Linked DNA regions of Drosophila melanogaster. The protein of the gene in region 1 interacts with the protein of each later gene in a pairwise test. Each region holds a gene or a part of one and is shown in the gene's direction. Other genes may lie near its edges.

Region 1 (16,018 bases):
TTCTCGGTGTGGGTTGGAAAATTGGAATACGGTCAAAGTGTTAAGCCATTGTCGCCGTTGTTGGCATCTGCTCCATGTGCCACGCCTCGTGCCCACGCAACTTTTTTCGCCTCTGCACAATGTATGTAGATGGCGGGCGGAAAGGGGTGGTAAATTTGGGAAAAAAGACCAGATGACGACGAGGGCAAAGAAATTCGCAATTAATCACAATTAAAAACGGCCTGAAATTTCTTCTTCTTTTTTATACCGCCATGTATACCTTTAACTCATGTACATACATACATATATACATGGCTATTTTATATATATATATATTGTATATATTATTACATTCTTTTGCACCCTTTGTCCACGTCATCCGCATTTAATTATGGAAATGTTAATTTGCTTAGCACTTCAGAGCAGCGACCCCCAGTTACCCATTATTCCCCGGCGCTTTTTCACAGTTTTTCAAACGCATTTTCCCCGGGCTCCGCCGCTCAACTGGCTCCACCTGGCGGTGGCGAGTCAGCGAAAATGTTCATGTTTAGTTTTTTTTTTTTTTTGCCATCACGCCATTAATTTTCAATTAACACTATGCCAGAAGCAGACGACGCGGACAACGACAATGATTATGGCAAATGGCTGGCGGATTATGGGTGGCGCAAGTGGGCAAGTGGTGCTCCTTTGAAAGTGGAGTCGACACCGTCTGGGTCACCGTTAGTCAATGGCACAATGCTCTAATCAGGGCGTAGGTATTGGTCCAAGTGCAAAGCTGACGAAGAGCGCGTCAAAATGATACCCTGGGAAATGAGGTGCCGTGCAAACTTAACTTTTGTTGAGAAATTAAATGATTCTGCGGGAACTGGTTCTTGGCAGATATAGTATATATATTATATTACTGCATTATTTAGTATTCAATTAACAGTTTAGATAATGAACTTCAATTATTGCAATGAAATAAATGTTGAAACCTCTACCAAATGAACTTTTTAAAAGTAATGGGCATCTGCGAGCCTCATACTCTTCCTGAGCCATGTTATTTCTTATTTATTGCCTCGTTCGTGCTTTCATTGGCACCCAACTTAACCTGGGCCAACCCAAGTGGTCCTGGCCCAATCCCCAACTAAACCGAAAGCAAAACCAGCCCCAACTTCCTGTCCACCTGTAGTTCATTTCATTTACCGCTTGTCCCTAACAAAGTTCAATCCTTTGTTGTTAACCCAGCCCAGGTCCCCCCCCTCCCCTACCACCTTTTCCTTTAGCCCTCTTTTGGGGGCGCCCCTGTCGTTTGTGCTTACGCCATTAACTTAAAGTGCCATTGGCTCCGAGATCGGTGTAGGGGAAAAGCCGGAGGAACATCAGAGCATCAGAGCATCTGGCCATCTGCGTAGTCTGGGAGCACTTAACTTAAGCGCTCTAATTGTATTAAAAGCGTGTCCTTTCCCGCCTACGGCTGACCCACCCCCTCTCTTCACCACCCTCTCCGCATATATCTATATATCCCGCCATATCCTTAACCACTTCTCCTTCTGGGCGGACAGAGCAATGCCACATAGTTGACGTTGACGTAATGTCTCGTCCCGGCTCGCCTCGTCTCGTCACGCTTTTGGCCTGGCCAGCATCTCGTTTTTCCCCGGCTAATTCGGCTAAGTGATTTTCATGAGTGCGTGCCAGGGCTGCGAGCCCGGTTTAATCTGACTTATGGTTTAATTAGGGTCAAGCGAAAGGGGTTCCCTATGCCTCTTCGGCATTGCAATTAGTGCCGATAAACCCGAACAAGGCGAAAACTTATTTGTGGAGCTGCATGCGTTTGCATTTATACACAGAAAAAACTGTGATAAAGAAATGATTATATTATTGCAATAGGTGCAATTGAGTTTTAAAGAAATAAGTTCTATATCACATCATTATTATATTTATATATGTTTACATACATTTTAATTTTTAGTTTTATAGCTACCAATGTTACCCAAAAATACTGTTGAATTTGCCAAATCTTTCTTCTTCAAATCTCTAATCAATTTCGTCGACTTTTTTCGCCGTGTAGCATCCATTTGTGGCTTTGTTACAATCTTTCCGTTCGCAATGTGCTCCGGTTCACCTTTTCGGCCCACTTTGTCAGCTTCTTCCTGCCCGCTCCTCCACTTGGCCTCCTTCTTGGTTGCTTATTTTTGGCTTGAAAACGCGAGTACAACGCACCCTCCACATTCCATGGCTTTCAAGATTAAAAAAATGGCCAAACCGTTAAAAAAAGGCATAGTTTTTACATCCTAATTGCCAATACTAACCACTTTTTGACTGACTTTGTGTAATTTTATTCACAACTTTTACACTTGCCAACAAAAGAGTAACACTTATCGCGAATGTGTGCCCTTTTCGCCACTTGGCAATTAAAAAGTTGTCGCCAGCAAAATTAAATTAAAATGAAAACATTTGTCAAATCGAGACTATACAGTCATCGCAAGGAGTCCACAGACATTCGCGTGAAGAATTGAGAATGCAGCATTAGAGGAGTGACAATGTATTCAATGTATATTTCAGAAAAAAAGCAATTATAAGGCGAACAAAACATTACAATGAAATCCGTACGCTAATGAAAGATCAAATACTTGAGCAGCCATTGCCCGGCAACAACACAGCACAAGCTGATCAATATTTCCCATAGGGGGGGCACACTGCGCTCCAGAGGCATCAATCCACGTCGCTTCATATCTAATTTAATGACATACACATCGATGGTCATGATGATGGCAAAAAGCGGAACGAAGATATTATTCTTATGCGGAGTGATCTGGATTTAAACAATGGTTGCAGTAATTTATTACAATGGTACAATAAGTGTGTACATATTGTAAATCTTTGTACTTACAAATACAATGGAGTATATCATTAGCATGTACGCTCTCACCAGTAAAAAGTGTGTGAGGGCTCGAAAGCGCCGCGAATTGAAGTCCTTTAAAATCAAAAGATTGCTTGGCCATCCGAAGAAAACGATCATGAAATCTATAAAATTTATTAACTACGAATTTTGGTTAGGTGCAATTAGTCCTTTACTTGCTGCCCACCATTAAATAAAGGGCTACCATTTACTCACCAATCGAAGGACACCGATGTTGAGGGTATAAAAGAATACCAATAAATCGATACTTTTCGAGATTTTCCAGTTGATGCGCCTTTCGCAACATGATAGAGGTATCTTGAGATTGGTGTGCACAACGCGGCAAAAGTGATCACTGATCTGCTCGAAGAATGTCATGCCGAAATGTACAAATAAATTTTCCAAATTTATAAAAGAATGTATAAATAGGTGCTTCGTTCAAGTCAAAGGGGATGACTGACTGAAAGGCAATGAATGAAAATCGAAAACGATTTGGGCATTAAATCATGGCCAACTACTCCCGCTGGCTGTGCAAGGACACTTGGCCTTCTTCTTGGTAGCTTATTTTTGTCTTGAAAATGCGAATAACTGGCAATTTCTGGCCGGGTCTTCCACACACCATACCACACTCTACACAGCACACACACCGCACACACACCGCGCCGTCGACATTCCATGGCTTTCGCATGGCTGGAATCTGGGTAAATGTTAATTAAGCATCATTTACGCATTCAGGCCGCCATAATTTGCAGCGACAATGACACTGACAGCGCCACAATGTTGCGACAACTTTGACAAGCCCGCCAGCCAGGACACAGAAACGGAGTCTTGGAGTCCTAGAGACACGGAGACACAGAGCCCGACCCTTTACCCCATTTACCCATTTACCACACTGTCACTCGGCACGCAGTCAAATTTAATGTAACATAAAAGGTTTTCCATTTCATTCACCATCCTACTTAATGTATATCTGGGACGTAATGGTTCCATTAGGACAACCGCAAATGTTCCAGAACATTGCAGTTGGCATTTGCCTGGATGTCTGGGGAAAAGAAATTGTTCAATAAGCAGATATCTGAAAGAAACGATTGACTTGGCTGGTAGATTGTTCGGACTACGTGGCTTATGACAAATGTTCAAAGCTCAGTGTTACTCACATTACGTATACGCGGTGTAAACCATGCCCAAGACTAATAAAAGAACAAAACTTGTATGTTGTTTTACATTTGGGGGCAGCTTATAGATATTTTTATAAATTTATTATTGCAGAAATCTGGGTAGAGCGGTATGGCCTTATCTATGTCCTGGTCCTGGCAACGATTCCCCTTTTGTCCGAGTCCCGGTGCCACACCATCTGCTGTTGGTGTCCCACTGTCCTACCAAACGTCCAATGGCCGCTTATCTTTCCCAGACAATGGACAATGTGGCCGTGGATTAGCTCAGCCAAACGGTTATTTAGCGGCGTCCAGAGCGAGGATTGTCTTCACCATTCACCTCCTCCTTTCAAGGACTCCGCCAAATTGTGGCCACAAAGCGGCCGGGTGAAGTGCGCCCAACAGCTGGCCAACAAAATTCAGAGATGGCCAACAATACATCCAACAATGCCAACGTCCAACGACCAACACAAAAAGCAACAAATCGCCAACTGTAGAAACAAAATAATAATAAAGACAAGCAGCAACATGGAATGGCGGAGCACAAAACCGAAATAGCAAATAAAATTGCACAGCAAGGATGAAAATGGAACGAGTGCAGGAAAGGAAGAAGAAGACAAGGAAAGGAGCTAGGGAGTCCTGCAGAAGAATTACGTTAAAAGCCAAGAATAACGATGGTACAAAGAAATTCGGTGGAACAACACGTGACTTACCCTAAGGGTTAAGTAAAATAAAAAAATAATAATTATTAACTTGGAGTATTACTTTTTTTTAATTAAGTTGTTGGATGAACAGGTATTGTGTACATATGTACATATATGTGCTTCACAGTCATTGCAATCAAAATGTAAACACTATACTAAATTCAACACAATTTAAATTTCCTTGTTTTATGAATATGTTTATACTTTTGCATTGCTTATACACATTTACACATACACTGCAAATACTATACAATATGTGTATTATATTTAATTAAACTAATGCTAAAACAGTTAAAACCGAAAATAACATCACTCGATATTACAGGGTATCGCCGATAAAGTAAGAGGGCAAGTTAGGGTCGCAAGTCGCGCACACATTTCTCACACCAAATGCAAATAAAACGACGCCTTGGAATTGAAATAGAAATAGAAAATTGCCAAACAAAAATGGCAGCATAAACTTTTGCTGTTTGCCACTTCCGTACGTCATTCGTTCTGCTTTCACCTCCTTTCTCCGTAGGTCGTAACTCTCGCACACACACACACACAAAATAAGAAAGGAGAAAGCGAATAAGACACAGTGGCACATATACGCACAAAAGTCTGCTGCTTGTCGACATTTTGGTAATAAATTGAGTTTTATGGCAGTCATATTATTCTTTATTAGTGGGTAAGAATTGTTGCCTTTTGTTGGCTTTTGTTGCCGAAACGATGTCTCAACCAGGCCAACATCCTTGCCATCCCGAGCATACCGAGCATCGTGAATCCTTAACCCACAATGGCTAGATATCACTGGTTCGGTTCCGAAGTGCCTACTCTGTGTGGCTTAATTAATTTGGCAGTGTTTTGCGACTTGGTTGTCAATGGATTGGACGGAATTCCCAGTAGCCCTCGACCGAATCAATCAACGACAACGCCACGGCCCTCGTATATTTACTCTTTCATTTCCCAGTAACGTGGCTGGTAAATCAAAAACTCTCATCCAAAATTCGTTACTTGGCGTTAAATTAGTCTCGGCTTTCGAACTTCGCGGGCATACTAATCAGGTCCAAGGCGTCCGCCCAAAATGGGATAATCCGTCAATCGAAGCTCGCAATTTTCACAGCTGTCAACGCAAGTCAGATTGGTTATTTCAAATAGCATTGCCTAGAAGTATAATAAAATGTTTTAAAATAAACATTTCAATACAAAACAAATGGTAAACGGGCTTAATTATTATTAATTATTTTAATTATTATTTCGATATTTCATTAAAGTGTTTCTTTGTTAAATTAGAACTTTCGATTTGGTGCAGTATTTCGAGTTTCTTTCCGTGTAGCGATGTATTGTATCATCAAGGCCATTCAATTAGCAATCATGGAGAGCCCGCCAGCTTCTCGTACCTGATGATCCATGAAACGTTCGAATAGAGAGCGCCCAAAACTTTTGCCTCATTTCCGGAAGCACTCGAGTCCTGGATCAGAGGAGCCACAAAACTGTGCATAATGCTCCGCCCGAGCAATTTATCATCCTCAGTTCCAGTTCCCGCGAGGCTGTCGGCCAAAAACCAGCGGGCGGTAGTAGAAAAAAAATTTGGCGGCGAGTGGGCCGAAACCTTTTTGGTGGGGGTGCCAATGGAATGTGGAAGGGCGGTGGCCGATGATTAATTGCTTGAATGTCCAGTCGAGCAGAAAATTCACAAAACATTTCCATCATCAAAGCACACAACTGATTTTTCTGTGGAAAAGTGAATCCTGTCAACGATGAAACGAAGGCAGACAGCTCTTTAAGTCCAATGTAGGAATATTGCTCTCTGTCAGTTTGATTTCAAGTTATTTGCCTAATTGCGAGTATAGTTTATTTGCTTTCACATTTATTCGTTGCTAATTGCACATTTCAAGTTTCAATGCCTTTCATTGCAGACTAATTAAATGCTTAAATGCCATATATTTGCTTTCACTTAACAACTGCTTGTACGCATGAACAAAAAACAATCAATGGATAGACATAACTGAAAGTAAACAAGTTCAAGGGAAATTTCTGGAAATATAAAATTATGAAATAAATCAGACACGAAAATTAGGTAAGTTTCGTCAATAATTGTTGGCTCCTGTCATATTAATTAGGTGGGAATTACAGCGTTTATTATTGAAATTTATAAAGTCATATATGTAAGTTTACAATGCATTACTTTTATTTTATTTGAATTGTGGAAGAATTTGCTTTTAAGATTCTTTATTTTTTATTTAACATTTATTTGCAACCCATTTATAATATTCCGAATTCTAGCAGTAATGTACTCAAAAGTTGACTGATGAAACGTAAACAAAAATTCTTTCTCACAATATATGAAAATATTAATATAGCCATCACTGCCACAATTGTCACTTCAACAATTCCATAAAAAGAAACCCACAGTCAAAATTTTCGGCACTTTAAGCATGGAGTTGGAACAAAACTTGACCGCCGCCCTGATGCAGTCGTCGGCGGAGGAGGGCAAGTCGGAGGAGGCGTGGCCGGCGGACGCCCACCTGCATCAGCCGGCCGAGGCGAATCAGCTCCTGTTGCCGGAGCGCTCCAGCTGCCTGGCGGTGAAGACGTTTTTGCGCATGTGCAACCTACCATTTACGGAGCACATCAGCGACAATGCAGAGTTTATGTCACCAGGTGGCCGGTTGACCCACCTGCCGCTGCTCCGTTTGGGCCCTGTCAAGACTTTTGCGGAATTCGAGCCAATAGTGGCCCAAGTGGAGGCCGTGCAAGGCGGCAATTGCCTGGACAGTTGGATGTCCGAGGATCAGCGCGATAACATCCGCTGTCTGGTTAGCTATGTGGAGAATGTCTTCACCCTGGCGGAGATTCATATGAGTTTTGTGGATGAGGTAAACTATCAACTTTACACGGCAACGCGCTGTGCAGCCGCTCATCCGTGGCCGTTGAGTACGATTCGCCGGTTTGCCAAGCAGAAGGACGCACAGAAGATACTGAAGGTCTACCGGTGGCAGGATTTGGACAACGACCAGGTAATCCAGGAGGTGAGCATCTGTGCCGATGCGTTGATCGCTGAACTGGAGGAGGACCAGGCGAAGAGCTATTTCGGCGGCTCACGACCTTGCAAATTGGACGCCCTGGTCTTTGGCCATGTGGTAGCCATAATGACCACCAAGCTTCCCAACATGGAACTGGCCGCGGTTCTGGCCACATATCCACGTCTATTGGCCCACTGTCGCCGCATCGATCAGAGCCTGTTTGATGGCAAACTCCTGACCAGCGCGGTGGAGGAGCAGGAGGACGAGATGGAGTTGGAAAAAATAGAATAAAGGAAAGGGCAGGACTCGGAATCCCTCTGCCCCGGAACAAAGGATTCTTATTGTTTTTTTATTTGGCCAGGGTCGGGAAGGCAATCAAAAATATGCAAAGCATTTACAATAAAAACGGCAGACAAGTCGGAGGAAGAGTGGGTTTTGCATGGGGTGTGGCACGGGGAAACTTGAACCAGAGTTAAGCCAGCGCACAATGCCATAAAATACAGCAACAGACAAGGCATTTAACACTGAAAAAATAAAGTAAAGAAATCAAACAAATAGAAAGCAAGTAAATCCAAAATAAATGATTGTTGCAATTTTTAAATTAGATATTCATTTTAGAATAATCCCGGTAATAATGAAGTTTACACTTACAAATTTGCAATTATAGTTTCTAAATGTGGAGTCATTACTGGCGAGTCATAAAAATCTAATTTTTTTATTGCGAAAAAATTGGCCTCTTTTATATTTCGAGTGTACTAGGCAGTATTTTCGGCGCGGGCTGGCATTCAATTTAAGTTCGCCCTCGACTTGTAGGTTCGATTTTATGACTGGCCCAAAGTCACCAATCTCAATGCAGAGTTCCCTGGGAGAAGAGTTTACGGGTCTGCGGGACTTCAGTACTCCGGCTAACCCGTGTGACATGGCCGCATCGTTCGGACAATCAGGGAACCATCATCGACATCGACTAGGTCCGCTGTCAGCCAGCTCCCCATGTTTTCCTACCATTTTGGCTCCCTTTTTGTGTTTCGCAATCAGAAACTCATCATGGCCTATTGATGATTTTTTCCGTTGTTCCTTTTTTTTTGTGCATTTTGCCTTTGCTACGACTCCCAGAGGATAATCTTCGTTGTCCTTGATGGCTGTCCCTGGACTTGGTAATTTATTGGAATTTACCAAAAGGATTAAGTACGCCAATAAGCGTTGCTCAACGTCAATGAGCGCGTGAGCTCCATCTCCATTCCTATCTCCATTATTTTGAAACCCGTTTTCGTTCTGCTATCGGAGTGGGAGGCATCAGACATCAGACGGCATCGTCATTATCCTTGCTGCCGGCCATTTTCAGCCCTTTCGTCTGTTTCCGCATCCGCCCAACTTCCGGTTTGGAGTGTTGGCTGCACACTCCGTTGCCAAAATACATGGCCCATTTCGAGTGCCAACCTGATTTGAATGGATTAATATTTAAATTTCGACATACAAAAAATATAATATAAAATAATATATTTCAGTACCGATTTCAACAAGTAAAAAAAGTATTCTTCAAAAACTGGAGACGCCGGGACTTAAGCCCGGGACCTCTTACATGCAAATAGTTGATTCTGAACTTCTGAAGACGCATTTAAGAATATAAGTTCTTAGTGAATTCATTCTAATCGCCGGACATTACTCACTTGATGTTTATAACTGAATGGAACTCAGTCAATTTGTTCTTTATTGATTCAATAGAACCGTAAGCAGACAATCGCTTTTGCCTTCAAATAACCACGGCACTTGGGGCCTCGAGTCATCTCAACCTGAACTTTTACGTCACGTTGTGCTTTATCGCTTTATTCCGAGCTGCGTCGCCCGATTATCCATCATCCGGATCCGAGGAGTCCCCGTCATCATCAGCGACCTTCAGCTAGCATCTTCCGCTCGCCCGAGTAACCCTAATGGAAAGTATATAAAACACAATTTGTTTTCATTTTGTTCTCCCACAGAGTCGCTGAGCGACTATCCCGACTTTCTTCGACTTTTCTCGATTCATCCAATCCCCGTCCACCCAAATTTTAGCGACTTTCTCTGCCGTTGGCCTCGAGTTTTCAGCGCCTTATCCTGCAGATCCTTGTAGCATACCAAATTCAGCATTCTGTCAGCTTAACCGCTGCCACTTGCCATTGTTGGCTGTTTATTTTGGTAGCCGGGCTTTTTGCGAAAACTTTTGCACATGCCACGCCCAGACGCCCAGAACGCCCCCAACCATACCCAACGCCCCCACCAGCCCAACTGACTGCCTTAGGGCCACTAAACAACAGATAGACTAAACGAGACAAAAAACACAGTAGGTATGCATTAAGATATATACACACAGATGTGCACTTAAAAAACTGTTTTCCATCGTAGTAATAATAATAAAATCGCAGATCAATAGAGTGTTTCAGCCTATTTATTTATTTACCATTATTCAATCGTTTATATTGTTAAACATATTTAATTTAGGCTACACATTGAAAACGCCGCAAATTTTCTCACAGTGTCCAGCATTTATACGTTGAAAAGTTCTGCGCCATGGCTTGGTCAGAAGTGGGGGGGGGGCTTTGGGCCAAAACTTTCTATAGCCTACAAATTTTCTTTTGCCTCCAAATTGGCTGAGGGAAGAAAGTTTTCCTTGCGGCTACTTTCGCCGCTGCTCGGTCACCGATGTCGCAGCACGATGGCCTAGTCCATCTATATCCACATCTTTATCTCCTTTGCCAGCTCCATTCATCTCGACCCACCACTCCACCAGCATCTTGTGCCCATCGTGGCCAGGCCAGAAAGGAGCCAGTGCAGTGATTAGGCAATAATTCTGTGGCACGCAAACGGCGCACATATTAACCCGCCCAAGGAAATATGGCGTGTCATTGAACAACTCAATATCGCAGGGCTCCAAGCGCCACTCACTCACTTACTCGTTGGACCGCCGGCTCTACGACTTTTTCGGTTGTTAGGCAAATCACGTAAATTCCTTTAAACGAATTACTTTCAAATTACCGAAAATATTTGGATCGACTGACTGGCGGCTGCTTTCCTGAGCAGGTGCTTGTGTGCTCATTGCGCTTTGCCACAGCGACAACAATGGGCGGGATTTTCGGCAGAGAGTTTTAAATAAATATTATTGCGTGTAATTTATATGAAAAGTTTGCACCTCGTGTTCTTAGGTTGTGATTTTACGATTTTCCGATTTTCATACTCAAAGCCATGATTTTCGGTTGAAAAGCGAACAAAAACCCCGTCTCAATTTATGCAGCTACATCAAGAGCGGTCTCAGTTTATAAAGTAGCAACAAATAATTGACCACCCACACATGGGGGCGGGGAAAATTGTTGCCGCTTTCAGTGGTTGAAAAAAAAAGAATCCGAGAAGGAAAAAAAAACTGCGAGCAGAGAAAACTCAGCGGAAAACCCGCTCAAGTGGCAATCATCATGCTGCACTTGGCAATTGTTGCCACCAAAAAAAGACTGGCAGGGGGGAGGGGAGGGGCTGCGGCATTGGCAGTCCAGCCCCCATTAATTCCCAAACCCCCAACTTTCATCATCGTCCTGTGAACCGCCCTGTTGAGTGCTTAAAAACACATTGCACGTTCAAATTGAAGTGGAAATGCAACGAAATGCATATAAAAACATCCTGAACCAGAGGTCCTGCTGAAAAGGGATATCTCCTGGAAAACGCCTGAGCGATAATAAGAAACGAAAGCTTGGTATTTATAATTACAATCATAATTTAATCAATATTAAATATTTCTTTGAAATCCTTAAATAATCAAATCAAGCACCCTCCTCTATATAAAATAATTATATATAACTAACAAATACAAACCGATCATCATGATCAAATACTTAATGAATGCGGTAACAAATTCCCGATAATTGGAAAGCATCAGTGATTTGCGTCCGTAATCCGTAGGCATCATTTATTTATGAGATTCGTTTAATAATGTTTTGATTTCTCGTAAGGCAATTTAGCCGGGGAAATCGTTTATCGGTACGTGGCGAAAGCCACGGATACATGGGGTTTATACACTGGCTGGCTTGTTGTTATTGGATCCACCTTGTGACCGCCCAAGCAGCCATGCCAACTACCTTTAACCACCCCAAGCCACCCACAACCACCCCAAAACACCCACAACCACCTGGTCACGTGGCGTCGGCGATAACAAACAAATGCAATTATGGATTTACGCGGCGTATGCGCCATATTTATATGTTTTTTACGCTGCCGCTTGCGGTTGCCTTACATTTTAATTGAGTTGCTTGTGCAGCTGGCAGCGCCAACAAAAAAAAAAGAAACATTAGTTGTATCTGTATCTGTATCCGTATCTGAATCGGAACCAACTGAAAATGTGGACAAGTGTTGGGTGGCGTGAAGAAGGAAATTGATGCGCTTCGGGTGCAAAAGACATCAAACACTTGAAATATTTTGTGTAAACTTGAAAAATGACATGAAAGCGGCCTGAAATAACAGGCCAAACGATGGGTGGATGGGGCTGGTTGTTTATTTTTTTCGAGTGGATGGATGGCAGAATGGCATGCAAAAGTAAACAAACAATTTGCGGGTCTTGTCTCTGACATATGAGTTCGAATATTTCTGTTGGGCGGTGGGAGGGTAGGGGGCGGGGAGAGAGGGCGGAAAGGGGAGCTGTGCCCGAGGTCTCCGGGATCTCACATCTTACTCGATGTCTCCTTGAGCTTGTGAATGGCATGCGTGGGCGTGCAAAGTGTTTCTGAAAGATGATTGATACGATTTGGAGTGCTCCCAGGGCCGCCGACATCCGCTTCCCTCGATCCGCTCCTGAATTTGCCGCCCGGGGGCGTCGCATAAGCGGCGGCGTAATGAAGCGGAAATCGATTTGCGAGCGCGCGCGCGTCTTCAACCCGTGCGACCCGGGAAATCGCTCGTCGGCAGCGGGCGTGCGTGAAAAGTTTGACAGCAGCCAGGAGCAGGCCACCAGACATCCACCGCCCAACCGCCCAACCGCCCAACCGCCCAACACCCACTAGCCAACCACTCAGCCAGCACCACCCGCAACGCCATCTCACGGGATGATGAACAGTGGGGCGCCACCAGCAGCAGCAGTACCAGCCGCTACCCCGCACCGCCAAAAACCACACGGCGAGAAAATGTAAATGCTTAAAATAAAATAAATAAAATATGTTGCGAAAATAATATTTAATAAGGGTGCACAGAAATCGCAATAATTTTATTCATGAAAGTTGCAAGAAATGTCATTTTGCTGGTAAGATAACCCAGCCATGCAGACATACATAAAATAATATTTTTTTCCAGTGCACCCCTTTTCCCCTTTTTTTCACGAAGAAAGCGTAAACAAGAAAATATTAAGCAGCTGCGAGAGCAAAACAAAAACGTAACGCTGCCGAAAAAAAACTTGGGGTAGGGAAAACGAAGTGCGCGAAACAAGTTTTCCGGGAGGGGCAGTGGGAAAACAAGCGAAATAAAGTAAAGAAACGAAAGGAATGATGCTGTGGGGAGAGAAGGGGGGGAGGGGTGAGGGGAGCGATTTCCGCCGCTCGCTCGTAACTTTTCACTTAAGCATTTTTGTCACGTCTGCCATTTTTCCTTTTCTCCATTTTCCGGCACACCCGCGCCTATCCGAAAGCCTTGTGTAATACATTTTTGTAATATTTACTCTGCGCTTTGTTGGATCTGTGCATCCTTGATCGGCATGGGTATATACGCTATTGGGCAGCTTGGAGCATTTCGTGTTTTTCACATTCCCAGTTGAAAGGAATTCCTTGGCATACCAGAGCATTGGAAATTCGCTGTGTGCAAAGCTTAAAGTTGAGTTGATATTATTTTCTTTTTTTTTTGTTCTATATACAGACATATTTGTTGTTGTTTATTTTACGCCAACCCAGATTCCCAGTGACTTGGTGTCCTTTTTTTCGGGTTCCGGCCAGTTTCTTAATTTCTTTTCGTGTTTTCTCTTTATACATGCACACCCGCTATTTGATTTCCCCCTCGCCAGGCAAAAATCATATTTTATTGTTATCGAAATTTAGTGGCTTCCCATAAACATCGGCCCGTTTTTTCTTCCCCATCTTTCTTTCGGCGTTGGACTCAGCGCCGCATCCCTCCGCCGAAAACAGAAATTGTGATCCATAACTTCGCCGTAAACTGGGTCAACTCCGGACTCCATTCGCCGTTTTCCGGACCCGTCAGCCTGCCAGCTCTGGCGACAGTTTGGATTAACCCGGTTGCTGGAACGTGGCCGCGATTTGCACTGTCATCCGGAACCGCGGGCCGTACCAAATTAGACGGGACAGCACCGAAGTCTCAACGGGTTTGCTCGGTTTAGCACCGGAACTCACCGGATCCGATCTGAAAGTGCGGCTAATACAGAGTTGAGGGAAGCTGGTTAAACGGAATAGAGCTGTCAATAAATCTAAGCAAATAGAAAAGTGCACCTAAATTGGTGGCGATAATGTCTGCATATGATGTATGCACGTTTGCCTTCGGGCTATATAAGTTATATTTTGAGATTAGGAGCTAATTTAGCATTTTATTCGATATAAGCCGAATTAAATATAAACCAAATATGAATGAAGGCCATTAAGATACATGATTAACGGAATTTTCAAATTTAAAGATTTCTTTCTGTTCGAAATGTGATGCGACCTTGAATACATATCGAAATATGTTAACAGATGTCAAAGTTAAAGTAATTGGAATCACAGCCCACAAATTAACTATAGCAAGGGTCAACACTGCGTATAAGTGATATTGTAAGTAGTACGTCAATTCTACACCTTATTATATATAGAGGAATAAGATAATGCTTAAAACAATTGGAATATTAGCTTATTCCTTTGAGTTTTTCTTTAAGTCCACTCAACTTGGGATCACCCTAATGGCTAACAGAGTCGTTATTGGCTTTGTACTGCGTTTATTTTGGCCATGTATTATTTGCTTTTTGTTGACCCGTAATCTTTATGGCCTTGTTAGGCCACCGAAGGAAATCAACAAATCATCCGAGCACTCTTAGACATTTTCATTAGCCGCAATTTGGGCATTAAAATTTGAGTTGGCCCGCTTGCCACCTCGTATATTTTATGGGTCTCGACACCTTCAGGAATTGGGCGCATAAATTGTCGAGTGCGGCAGTTAACTGGCTAAAACTAAGCCGGCAATCCATCAAACTGGCAAGTAGCTATATATATATATATAGGGTAGGGTATAGGGTAGCATACATATTTATGTGGGGTATATAAAGCACACACCACAAATGTGCCAAATGAGAGGCTTTCGGTTTTCTATTAACTGTCAGCCGTTTAATTTACAAGCACTTTTCGAACACCTCAGTCGCACAGCAGGGGTGTCAAAAAGTGGTGGCTTGGTGAAGGGTGTGGGGGGGGGGGGGGGTGGTTGGTATGTTCAGTACTCAGTATTCGGCATTCGAAGGGCCTTCTTGGATTTTTGGGTATGGAGCTCTGGAGGTGACCAATAAATTAAGAAGCAGACGAGAACGGAAATGAAATGTCTGTGCGTCGGTGGCGGAGATCGGAAGTGCGGTTTTGGTGAGTGAGTGGGTTAAGTGGGTGGTACTGTGGCGTAGGTGGGTTAAGTTGCCCCCGTTTGGGGACAGCTATCCAAGGCAGCTATCCAGCCCCCACCCTCCATTCCACACAACTGGCAACTGACATTTTCCTGCCTTCGTCCATTTCCATGTCGCATGTCAAGCGATGCGAATTCTAATTAAAATTTAATTGTTTACACTTTTCGGCCAACGAGCGGAAATGGGAGCGGAAGCGCCAAAGGCTTGGCCTGCACTGCGAGAAAATGTGGCATGTTTTTATATAGGAACTTATAAAAATATAAGATTGTCTGTAATTTTAAAAAATATGTACAAGAAGTGGCAAGGTATGGCACTTAAGGCTTAGATTTCAAATTACTAAAATGATAGAGCCACATAACATATTTTAAGCATTTGTCATATGTAATGTAATATAAATTTAAAAGTTGATTACCTTAAAACCAAAATCGACTGTTTTTTTCGTAGTTTTTTTTTTTCCTGCGGCCTCTGACCCTTCCTTCTGATTGTCCGAGGTTCAGGTCCTTGGCCATTAGGAATAAGTATTGTCGTGCTTGGCGCGTTTAATTGTCGCTTGGCCTGATTTACATGGACGGCGGCAAAAGTTCGCAAAACCAACATCTCGAAGGGGGGTGGGGAGTTAATGCTTATGGGAGACAGCATTGGGTGTTGGGTGCTTTCCGTACGAAGGGGGGGGGGGGGGGGGGTTTGTCAACTCGAACGTGCCT
Region 2 (11,155 bases), on another chromosome or scaffold:
AATACATTTTAAGACTTTAGTCACTAGATAAACGTAGTTGTTCGTTTTATTAAAGTGGATGTGGCCCAACATGGTGGCCCAACAATGGGTTATATTCAGTAATATAAATGAACCAAACTGGCTAAAAGATATTTTCTTAAAAGTATTATTTTAAGTATGCCAAATTAGGAAAACATATCCAAAAGGCAAAGGTAATCAATATCTTATTCTTTGATTTAATACAATTATGTTTGACTGATTTAAATGAAATGAGCTGTTATTACAATAATTGCAAAAGAGTAGAAATCCTTAGATTGCAATAAAACCGGATTATCAAGAAGATAACTCATACGCCATGTGTGATGAATCTATTTGCACATTCGCTGTTCGATAACTGTGTTGAGTTTTACACAATTAGTCAACACAAATTAATTAAAAACCAATAAAAGGAGAATATAACTAAGAGCTTATATTAGTTTTGCGGCAAAAGCAAAGTGCAAAAAAAGGGGCTGGCGTCGTCGTATTCCAGTGGCTGATAGTGCTGGTGATAACAGGAGCGCTAAGCTAATAATACTAGAGAAACATAAACATATGTGCATGGACCCCGGACTTTTCGGAAAGCTCAGTTGTAGATGGACGCCTGGTTGGAGCTGTTGTGCCTCAGTTTGTTCAGGAGCACTACTTCCCAACTGGTTTATCGCAGTCCCAGGCGATTGTTATTCCAGCGCTTCCAATCAATCAGCCCATACTCAACAAATACTTGATTACAGGTAGGCCATATAGAATTCCTCTCAATTCGCAAACCTGACCAGCAGTTACTCTGTGCATCTGCTATTGGTTGGACGTTGGAAAATATAGGAAAAACAGTAGCGTTCCGGAATGTCTGCCACTCCTCCAACAACACCTGCGCCCACGGCTGCAGCTTCCGCCGGAAAGGGTCTTCACTCCAGGGCATATAATGGACTTATCAAGGCCTGCGACAAGTATGTGCCCCCCAAGATGCGACCCTTGTGGATGCACCCAGCAGGTGATCATAAATAGAAGCATTTTAAGCACAGAGAGGAACTAACATATCTTTCCTTCAGGACCCAAGACCATATTCTTTTGGGCTCCAATCGTTAAGTGGGTAAGTTTTTGCACTACTTGCATAACCATGAACCCTGCGTCCTTAGCCAATTCCCATTATCACCGTACTGATAAACAAACCTGTGGGCGAATATTGTGTTTTATTATTATTTGTTTAGTTCTCGGCAAACCTGTTCAAGCCCGCGATAAATATGTATATATGTACTTATATACCATTTTCCTCTCCACGCGCGAGATTCTGATAACTGAATGATTGTGCGGTTTGTGGGGCTCATGGAATATTTCATAATACTTTTACTGTTTTGACTGGGGGGAGCTTTGCCAACATGCTATTCAGATTTGCAGTCAATGGGGGGACTTACCCTGCACTATCGGCCAGATCTCCCTAATCTCCGCAACCATTCCGTTTATATTCCACCACAGAGCCTCGTTATCGCGGGTCTCAGTGATTTGACGCGTCCTGCGGACAAGATTTCGCCTAACGGATGTCTGGCTCTTGGGGCAACGAACCTCATCTGGACGCGCTACTCTCTGGTGATCATTCCCAAGAACTACAGCTTGTTCGCGGTTAATCTCTTCGTGAGTCTGACGCAGCTCTTCCAATTGGGTAGGTACTACAACTACCAGTGGGAGCAGTCGAGGCTGGAGAAAAATGGCGAGCAATGCCCGGCTATTGAAGCCAGTTTGTAGTAGTCCAATTTGTGCATTTCAATGGATTTAGTCTAAATAAAAACAAGTTTTAAGGCTTTAACGGTCAATACATTTAAAGTGGAAATTTTACAGTAAAAAAATGTTAAAAAAATAAGTACTATTTAAATAATTAAAAGTGAATTTTATAACTTTTTTTTAATGTTATTAATTGCAATTTAATTGCTTAAAACAAAATAGTTTATCAACATAAATTTAAAACCAAGCTAAATACACATCACTTTCAATTTAATCGATAAATGTAAATAAAAACCGCCGAACATTGTGCTGTTGGTCATTTCTTGTTTACTGCAATCAAATAAAAATACATAAATAAATAATAATATGGCCCTGGTGGACTATGGTGGCAGCAGCTCCTCCGCCTCCGAGGATGAGGACTGCACCGAAAACATTCAAACTCCCGCGTTGATCACCTTGAAAAGGTAACGTCCTTTACTGGAATACCCGTAGATTTCTACATTATAACCGCCAAAGACCGGCCCTACCCAAAGCAGCCACCCTGCTGGGCCCCAAGAAGCCCAAGCCCGAGGAGTTCGTCGAGGATGTGGTGGATGATCCCGCGGAACATGGCGGCCGCATGCGTAGTTTCAAGCATGAACGGGGAAACTGGGCCACTTACGTCTATGTGCCGGCAACAGCATGTGTTGACCAGCTGGAGGAGTTCCAAACGGAGGCCATTGCTCGTCTGGAGCCACACTTGGAACTGCAGCCGAACGAGTCGCTCCATCTGAGCCTGAGTCGAACAGTGGTGCTGCAGTACCATCAGATCGATGAATTCTCCCGATCCTTGCAAAGCGCCCTCAACAGCTCTGCGGGGTGAGATGTTTAACCAAGTTAAATCTAGTATCTCCCATCCTGATGACCAATCCTCTTTTAGATTCGCCGCCACTTTGCAGGGGCTGCGGATCTACACGAATGAGGAGCGAACCAGGACCTTCATTGCTGCGCCCCTGGACGCTGCATTTGTGGAGAAGATGACTGCCATTCTGCAGCCCATCGACCAAGTGATGCTCGACTACCGGCTGCAACAGTTCTATGATCCGGCCTCGTTCCACGTCAGCCTTCTTTGGTGCGTTGGCGACCAGGAGACACTGCTTAACGAAAAGCTCACGGAGTTAAAAGAGCTCCTTGATGATCAGGACAAACTCTGCCTGGCGGTCAATGAGGTGCACCTAAAGTGCGGCAACAAGGATTTTACCTACTCGTTGAAATAGGATATTGCCAGTCTTTAACTGAATCATAAATATTTATGCATGCTGATCTTTCAATTGGAATGTAGTGGAAAATATATATTGACTTTATTAGGTATCAAAAATGTAATCTGTTCCATATTAGCTCATATATATGAACATATAAATTGTAGTTTGCTAATAAAAGCAAGATTGTAAAGCAAGCCATAGCGTTGAATGAATGGTTACCATTAGCAATCCAAAGATGTTTCCTTACAAATTAGGCTTAAATATAAGAAGTCCAGTGATTACCTTTTAATTAAGACCCTTTTTCTTGTTACCATTTCCCTGCTTGGCCGCCTGCGCCTGCTCCTCCAGTAATCGCTCCTCCTCCAGCTCCAAAAACCGCTGACGACGGCGGCCGAGCGGGGTCTTCGACCACCAGGACTCGAAAGCTTCCTCCTCTTCGCGGTAGACGGGATCTCGTGAGCTGAAAGGCATGGAAACTAACAACTAACTAATTTCATAGCCAAATCTACTTACCACAGAACATTGATCAGTTCGGCATTGGTCAATGGTTGGGTGCGCAGCTGGAGTTTCCGCTTGCAGGTCATCACCTCCTTGAGGCACGCATCGATGGACCCAATGGTATAGCCATCTGATATTTTGGCCATGGCGCTGGTGTCCAGATTGGAAATGCCACCAGAGTAATCGCTGTCGGGGTGCAAACCAAATCAGTAGATTATTTTGCAAATGAATCCCCCACATTTACGCACTGTAACAATGTTTTCCAGGCATGTGACATGGCGCCGTAATCCGGTCGTGGAATATAGATGAACCGATTGTAGACGGATTGCAATAGCTTTTGATCCGCCTCCCAGGGCAGATTGGAAGTGCCAATGAAAACGACGCGATCCTCGGGCGCAATGTTCTTTATCAACTTGGGCAGATCCTTCTTCAGTCGCTTGGGATCTGTGCGATCCGTCTTTGGAATTTTCTTCATGAAGGGCCGCTCCGCATCGCCCATGAATATCACCGCAGGCTGGAGCAGTCGCGACACTTTCAGTACCAGATGGATTAGCATTATCAGTCCCGATTTGCCAGGATACTTGCCAACAATATTGGCAGGAGTCAGATCAAAGAGCACGGCACCCACCTCCGTGCAAATGGCGTGGAGCAGTGCCTTCTTCCCAGATCCTTTGGGGCCAGCTAACAGGATGGAACGTATCAGTGGAGTACAGTTATGTATGGCATCAGATCCCAGTGGAAGGATGCAGTACTCCGTGAGAATCTGGCGAATGTCGCCCGGTGAGGGATTAGTGCCAATCCTGGCAGTCAACGCCTTATCGCCCAGGAATTGCTTTAGCCTTAGCTCCGGGTATTTCCGGATTATGCCATTCGTGACCAGCTCCTCGTACAGCGACTCCGTAGTGCGATCCGGCGTTAGATCCTTCTCCTTCTTCTTTTTGCTCTTCTTGCCGGATCGCCGAGTTTTTTTGCTGCTCTTCTTCACCTTCTTGCCGACGGCCGTTTGGAGCAGCTCGATCTCCTGGCGCATCACATCGTCGACGGCGCGCCGAAATTCTAGCTCCACCTCCTGGTACTTGTCGCTGTAGATCATGTCCTCATAGGCCGCTTGGCTCAGCACACCGGTTTCATCCTTATCACGCCAGGTATCGTTAAACCTGAAGTTGTAAAAAGATTAAATTTGGATCAATTTATTATATATCTTTACTCACAGATCGATCTCCGCACGGATGTCTGGCAGGCAAACGGACGGTGCCGGCTGGAAGCTAACTTCCTCGTCTTGGTTTTCGTTGACGTTGAGGTCACCACTGCGAGCGGGTGACTTGGACTTATCCTTGGTCTTTCGCGACTCCTTGGAGGAGCGGGCCGACGAACGGCTGTGCTCGCTCTCAGTTCCAGGTCTGCTGAAAATATGCAATGAGCCGCCCTGATCCTCGGATGGAAAGTCCGGCAGCTTGCCAGTCTTGTCGTAGCAGTCCTTTACCCAAGCCCGAATCTCATCGGCAATGTCCTCCTTCATGCTGGCTCCGTGCTTGGCCCGAATCTCCTCCTTTAGTGCGTTCTGTCGCTCCTCAAACTCTTTGCCGTAAAACGCTTGCGCCTGGTAGCGCTTCTCGTTGTGTTGCAGCTTCTCCAGCTTCTCGGCTCGTTCCTTAACCACAGCCGGCGGTGGTGGCAGCATTCCGATTAGGATCATCTCCTCCATTTTGCGGCGCCGCGTTATCCGTCGGGCTGTGTGGCCACGCCACATCTTCTGAATCTTCATGGCAGCCAAAAGACCAGAGTCACTGCGCTCCTTTTCGGTGCGCTCCTCCGACTTGCCCTTCTCCTTTAGGATGCGAATCTCCTTCATGAAGTGGGCACGCAAGCGTCCTTGTCGCGCTCGCTCGTGCATTTGAAGCATCCTAATGGCTTCGATCTCGGTGGTAACCGTCTCCTCCAGCTCGTGCTCCTCAAGCCAACCCAGCTTCGTTAGGATCTCATGCATGGTCTTCTTTCGAAACTCTAGCTCCTGCTGACGCTCGCGCAGAAAGTAGCGTGGTATCCTCAGCTCCGTTTCCATGGGCGTCAGGCGCAGGCGTTCCACCACCTCGTCGTTGTAGCTAAATTCCATCAAGTCGATATTTACGAGATCGTGCTTCAGCTCCACCACTCGACCCAGACAGGCGTCTAGTAATTTACGCACCAACTGGCGCTTCTGAGGCTGAATCATCTATGATGAAAGATGAGAAGTAAACCAGAGTCAAAGGATATATCATCTCCTTATATATATCCCACTTTTGTTTAAGAAAGTCGTATACCCACATTATCATAGACATCCTCCAAACGATTGCTCAGACATATGTAGCGCAGATAGAACTCGTACAGACTGGACTGCAGCAAGGCCTTGGCATCCGCATCGGCGGCGACGGATCCGACCGCTGCATTCATGGTGGCCACCGTCGTCTCCACATCCTGGTGCTGCCTCTCATAGTCAATCGTGGATAGAAGCTCGCATTCATGCTGGGATTGGTGCCAGATATCATTGAAATATGTGCTGGACATGATGGTCAATGATACTCCTCCAATGAAAAATCAGATTCTTGTTTGAGCCAAACGAAACGTTGCCTGGGAGTTGCCAAGGAACTTTTTGCCGAAACGGGGTGGAATTATTGCAAGGACAACGAGAGTTTAGTAATTTTGTACACACATAGTTGTATATAATACATTTTGTCCAAGGCGTTGCCTGGTGTTACCCTCGAGAATAACAATAAATATGTTTACATGGTTACGCTTAAAAGGTTAAATAGTCCAATGGATTTGAATTGGTACAATGCATGGAATACCTTAATACATAATGCACATTCATATTTAGTTAATAAATAGTTAACAATATAATTGGGGCTATCTAGTCAAAATAGACTTTAAATGTTATCCGTGGAACAGTACTTGATCATGGATTTGGTGTGCTTAAACTGAATGCCACTAGTGGCGGCCACGACCTCTTGGATAAAACTCTGCGAGTTATGGATGGTGGTGCCGCCAAGAATGACTTTATAGCCGGCGTTGTTTAACTGGTGCACCGCTAAGGCTTCCTCGTACGTGGCACCGCCAATAATGAACACGACAACCTCCTGCGGTGGTCGTCGAAATGGCACAAGCTCTGAATTGATGGCCGGGAAGAGGGGATCCAGCTCGCGGCCCTTAAACACGTCCTCCAAAGTTTCCTTCAGGAGAGGAGTGTGCTGTGTGAAGACATTTTCCACACCCTTAAGGCCCTTAATCAAATTCCGTGTCAGCTTTACGGCGTCCGTTATCCGCACCATATTGAAGAGATCTCCTTGTCGTACATGGGTTCCAGCATACTCAATCAACGATGGCACTATAGCCGCTCGTCCACCGCGCGTTTTGATTATTTGCAGCAGTCCAGATGTGTCGCAGTTGGCGTGTCGCTCGTATCGCAATGCATAAAGTGCCACCAACTTAAGAGCATCATCGATGGAAACCCGTTCGTCGGCAATTAGTTTTTTGATTCTCTGCAGCTGGGCCGAGTGCTCCGCCTTGCAAGCGATCTCCTGTTCAAGTTCGGAAACCTCGAAGAGATTCCTCTTGTTGCTCAGCGCCGACAGTTCTCCAATCACACACAAATGCTTTTGCACAGTGCCAGACATTTTTTTAAACTGCGGATATGACTCAATAAAGTTCTTCATGTCTGCTATGCTCTCCACTTTCTTGTGGTCGTTCGCCTTGCGCTGGAACTCCTCCATCAGTTGTTTGATGGTAGATCCGATTTCGCCGTAGTTGGCGTACATGTTGTTGCCATAGAAGTCATCCTGATCACCGGATAAGACCAGCTCCTTGAAGTCTTTCGGCACATTGGGGCAATTGGACAGGTCCAATCGATTGTTTTTTATGTGCAGCAACTCATGCACCATGGCCTGGTATGTCCACTGATGCAAAAGCGGCGTCACAGGATCGTCCCTGCGGTCCAGCACAAGCAGCAGCGGTGGCGCAGCGCCATCCATGTTGGAGCGAAAGTCGAATAGCGAGGACTCTTTTGTGATTTGCTCGTATATGAGCTTGGCCAGAAGCTGCGCTGCCTGAGAACCGGCTCGGTACCGGATCACTGGGTTCAGCTTAAGGGACAACAGCACGGCTGTGATGCCCTGCATGCTGCGGTTGAGAGCGTCCGGCAGCCAATTAAGATTCGCCATGCAATTGGGAATGCCTAATGAGAACAGATTGGGGTTGACGCACAGGTAGTCTGCATACAGTTCCTTCACTTCTCGCACCGATTCGGATTCGTCGCACTCTGCCAAGTATTTAATGTCCGTCCGGGGAATGATGTTGCTGAAATCTATTTATGAGTTTAGTACTATTCCGAAGGTGCTTCTACTGACCCACTTACAAATGTAGTAGGCGCTGTATTTGGGGTTCCGCAACTCGTTGGCCAGTAGCTGGATGTTCTGCTTGGTGGGGCGTATAAAGACGATGCATTTTAGATACTTTAACCGCTCGTTGGATCTTCCCGAGTCCAGGCGCTCAAATAGGTACACCTCCCGTTGCAGCATGTCCGATTGGCTAAAGGCCATCGAAATTATACTGGTCTGCGAATGATGTGAATTTTTGATCATATGGCAGGGGATTTGATTGTCAGTCCTTGCACTTACCGTCTCCTTGTCCAGCAGAATGATTTTCATGCCCGGTCCCGACTCGGAGCACATTTTCTCGATGTACAACTTAATGCCGCTTATCAGATTCATGACTGCTAACTAATTTACTGCGAAAATCAGAAATTAATGTTTTTTTTCGCAAACAGATGGGTTGGAGATGCCCCAATTGCGATAGCTCCGTGATAACAGCGGTGACCAAACATTTGGGTAACATTCGCTAGATCTAGCTAATGTAAAATAATGTGAATATGTAAAAATGCATATAGATAAAAACTTACAATTTTTTGGTAGTATAATAAAAATAGCAATAAAGATAAACATAAATAGCAATTAAGCTCAAACATAATTCCGTATCTTTTCATTAGCCAAAATAAACTTCGAGTAGCAACATCCCTGGCCGGCAATCGATAAAGCGCCGATATGCTCGAGCGATATATCGAGTGCCCAGTAGTTATCAGTCTGAAGCACTCGCAGCAGTCGGCCAGAAATTCTGGCATATATTTTTGGATTCAAATTCGGATGGCTGATATGCAGGTGGACTGTTGAAAACCGGCTAAATACAAGAGTACGAGCAAAGCATAGACTAGGACACAATGGAGATGCAACTGGGAGCCATGCTGTATGTGTACAAGGGGGAGTACGGACTGCCGTCCATAGATTTTGAATGTTTACGTGCTCTGGTAAGTTCCGTTGCATCACACGGCGGCCAGCACGCCTGTTTTGCCCATTATCGCAGATGATGAAAGAAACTGATGAAAGCGCCTCTTTGCCGGAAACAGTGCCTCCTGCGATTCACCCGCTGCCCCATGGACGTGCAGACCAGCTCCAATCCGCTGCGTTCGGGAGCCGGGAAGCTGCCGTATCTGCAGATCGGCAACCAGAAGTTCGCGGGCTATAGGCAAATTAAGCGCGTGCTGGATCTCGAGGTGAGTGAGCAAAACAATGCCGGGGTGAACAAACTGCAGGCTCTATTTATAGATATGTGTTTTTTTATGGGCTTAATTCGACGTATTCTTTCAGGGTTACCCGATAGATGCGCATTTAAGCACTAAACAAAAGCATTTGTCCACCGCCTACGCCAACTGGGTGTTCACCAATCTGCATGCCTACTACCACTACTTCCTGTTTGGAGAGCCTCACAATTTTGACACAACCACGCGGGGCCTCTACGCCAAGCGCACGCCATTCCCCTTCAACTTCTACTACCCGTCGTCCTACCAAAGGGAAGCCTGCGACGTGGTTCAGGTGATGGCCGGTTTCGATGTGAACGACAAGTTGGACAAGCACGAAGGCGACTACGTGAGTGCTTTCAATTTCATATTGTCTCATATTACATTATTGTATCTTTAAATCCGAGGATTTTTTAATTTGTTTATCTAACCTATGTTTTACACCCAAGCTGCATTTCGATTGGAAACGTTTCATCAGTTTATATTAATAAGAAACAGTTTCTCATGTATTGGTCTTTTGTTATCAATATATCTTATCAATGTTGTGAAAAGCAAGACGTTTCTTTAACTATCAATTAATCATTTTACTTTACAGCTCGTTGTCAATGCCAAAAAAGTGGTGAACCTGCTCTCCCGGAAATTGGGTCGCAAGGTGTGGTTCTTTGGCGACACCTACAGCGAGTTTGATGCCATTGTCTACAGCTATCTTGCCATCATCTTTAAGATCGCACTGCCTAACAATCCACTGCAGAATCACATTAAGGGCTGCCAAAACCTAGTGAACTTTATCAACCGCATCACGAAGGACATATTCCGCATCGAGGGATACAGTTCCGTCAAGCTCACAAAGACACCCAGTGGCACGGAGGCCAGTCTGACGGCCTCGGAGCGCAAGTTCCTAGACTCCGAGCTGAACACCAAAATAGTAGCCGGCGTGGGAGCCGTCTTGGCCATGGGAGCGTTTGCGGCATGGCGTGGGATTTACAACCAGGTGGGTATTTTTGGCTGAAATTTGTAGTTCTTTACTCTTGACTTGATGGAGCTTATTCGATAGTTCTGGTTCAATGTCTTCTGTTGGCTCCAGACACTCTTGTAGACAGCCTCAGCTTGAGCACGTGCAAAATTCTCAGTTAATTGCAAATTCCGATTGATTCATCCTTGCAGCTAACGACACGCTCTTCGACGGACTACGATGGCATAGATTACGAGGATGACGAGATGGAGGAGGGCCTAGACTAATCGCATCTCTGCAACGATATCTATGTGTATAGTATATATATTTTAAAATACAATGTGGGGATGAAGCACAAAAACTGTCCAGCTTTAAAGGTTTACCTAAACACTGAAGGAGATCGATTTACTTGGCCATAAATCTTTGGACCGAAAATTTCGTCAGGTAATGATCCCCTCGTCGTAGATAACGCTTCGTTCCAAGGATTTGCCAAACAAATCGACTAAGTATGAAAATTCGGTTTATGTATTATAGTTCGAATTCGTTTTTAAACTGTCTTGTATAAAATAGCATTTTAAAGTCATCTGAGCGTAATAAAATTGGATAACAGAGCCCTGTTGTCATGGAAAAGACAAGCGAAGCTTTCTCGATGTCCAATAAGAAACCAGAATTCCTCGATTGGAGTTGGATTTGGTTTATTACACACTAGTCTTAAATGTAGATTTCGAATAGGGGTCAATACGATAGAGATGTTAGAGCCTACAATGGAATTGGTAGATGCATGGGGGTTAACCATTGAACTCATGTCTTGAGTGCATCCTGCAGCTTTCGCCGCGCAACTCCGACCCGATCCTCCTGTTTGCGTATGTCGTCCTCCGAAATGATCACCGCGTGCATTAGCGGTTGTTCAGGATTCATAAACGCCATGGCATTCTTGGTCAAATCAGCCTTCGTAGAACTCTGGCCGTGTACGCCGGCGTTGAGCATATGCAGGGCCGTGGCCACCGACTGGAGGACGGTCTGTTCGTTGACATTGGGGCCAACGGTGCGTATGGTCTTGGGCAGTGAGATGTCGTCTAGCTCCTCGCCACTGTCGTGGCAGGCGCGTAGTCGTTCCAGTCGCTTCTCCCA

Evidence for each region.
Region 2: the proteins of CG5662 (region 1) and CG9393 interact in a two-hybrid assay, tested with the Drosophila melanogaster proteins (2 studies listed by BioGRID).

Annotation. Positions count from the first base shown.
Region 1 is NC_004354.4:15,203,318-15,219,335, forward strand, and holds CG5662 (uncharacterized protein), read left to right. Parts: upstream 1-7,068; 5' UTR 7,069-7,138; coding exon 7,139-8,017; 3' UTR 8,018-8,150; downstream 8,151-16,018. Other genes in the region: CG32588 (uncharacterized protein), read right to left, coding at 2,573-2,773, 2,852-3,001, 3,077-3,238.
Region 2 is NT_033777.3:9,561,083-9,572,237, reverse strand, and holds CG9393 (uncharacterized protein), read left to right. Parts: upstream 1-8,564; 5' UTR 8,565-8,715; coding exon 8,716-8,802; intron 8,803-8,901; coding exon 8,902-9,048; intron 9,049-9,142; coding exon 9,143-9,421; intron 9,422-9,667; coding exon 9,668-10,063; intron 10,064-10,126; coding exon of another isoform or gene 10,127-10,168; exon of another isoform or gene 10,169-10,236; coding exon 10,237-10,311; 3' UTR 10,312-10,655; downstream 10,656-11,155. Other genes in the region: CG9396 (uncharacterized protein), read left to right, coding at 859-1,006, 1,065-1,105, 1,489-1,755; CG16790 (uncharacterized protein), read left to right, coding at 2,098-2,195, 2,248-2,589, 2,651-2,987; CG16789 (uncharacterized protein), read right to left, coding at 3,258-3,432, 3,486-3,656, 3,719-4,627, 4,682-5,682, 5,775-6,014; Vps45 (vacuolar protein sorting 45), read right to left, coding at 6,374-7,806, 7,858-8,056, 8,120-8,212; MBD-like (Methyl-CpG binding domain protein-like), read right to left, coding at 10,826-11,155. UniProt on the Drosophila melanogaster protein: Involved in transport of proteins into the mitochondrion. Essential for embryonic development.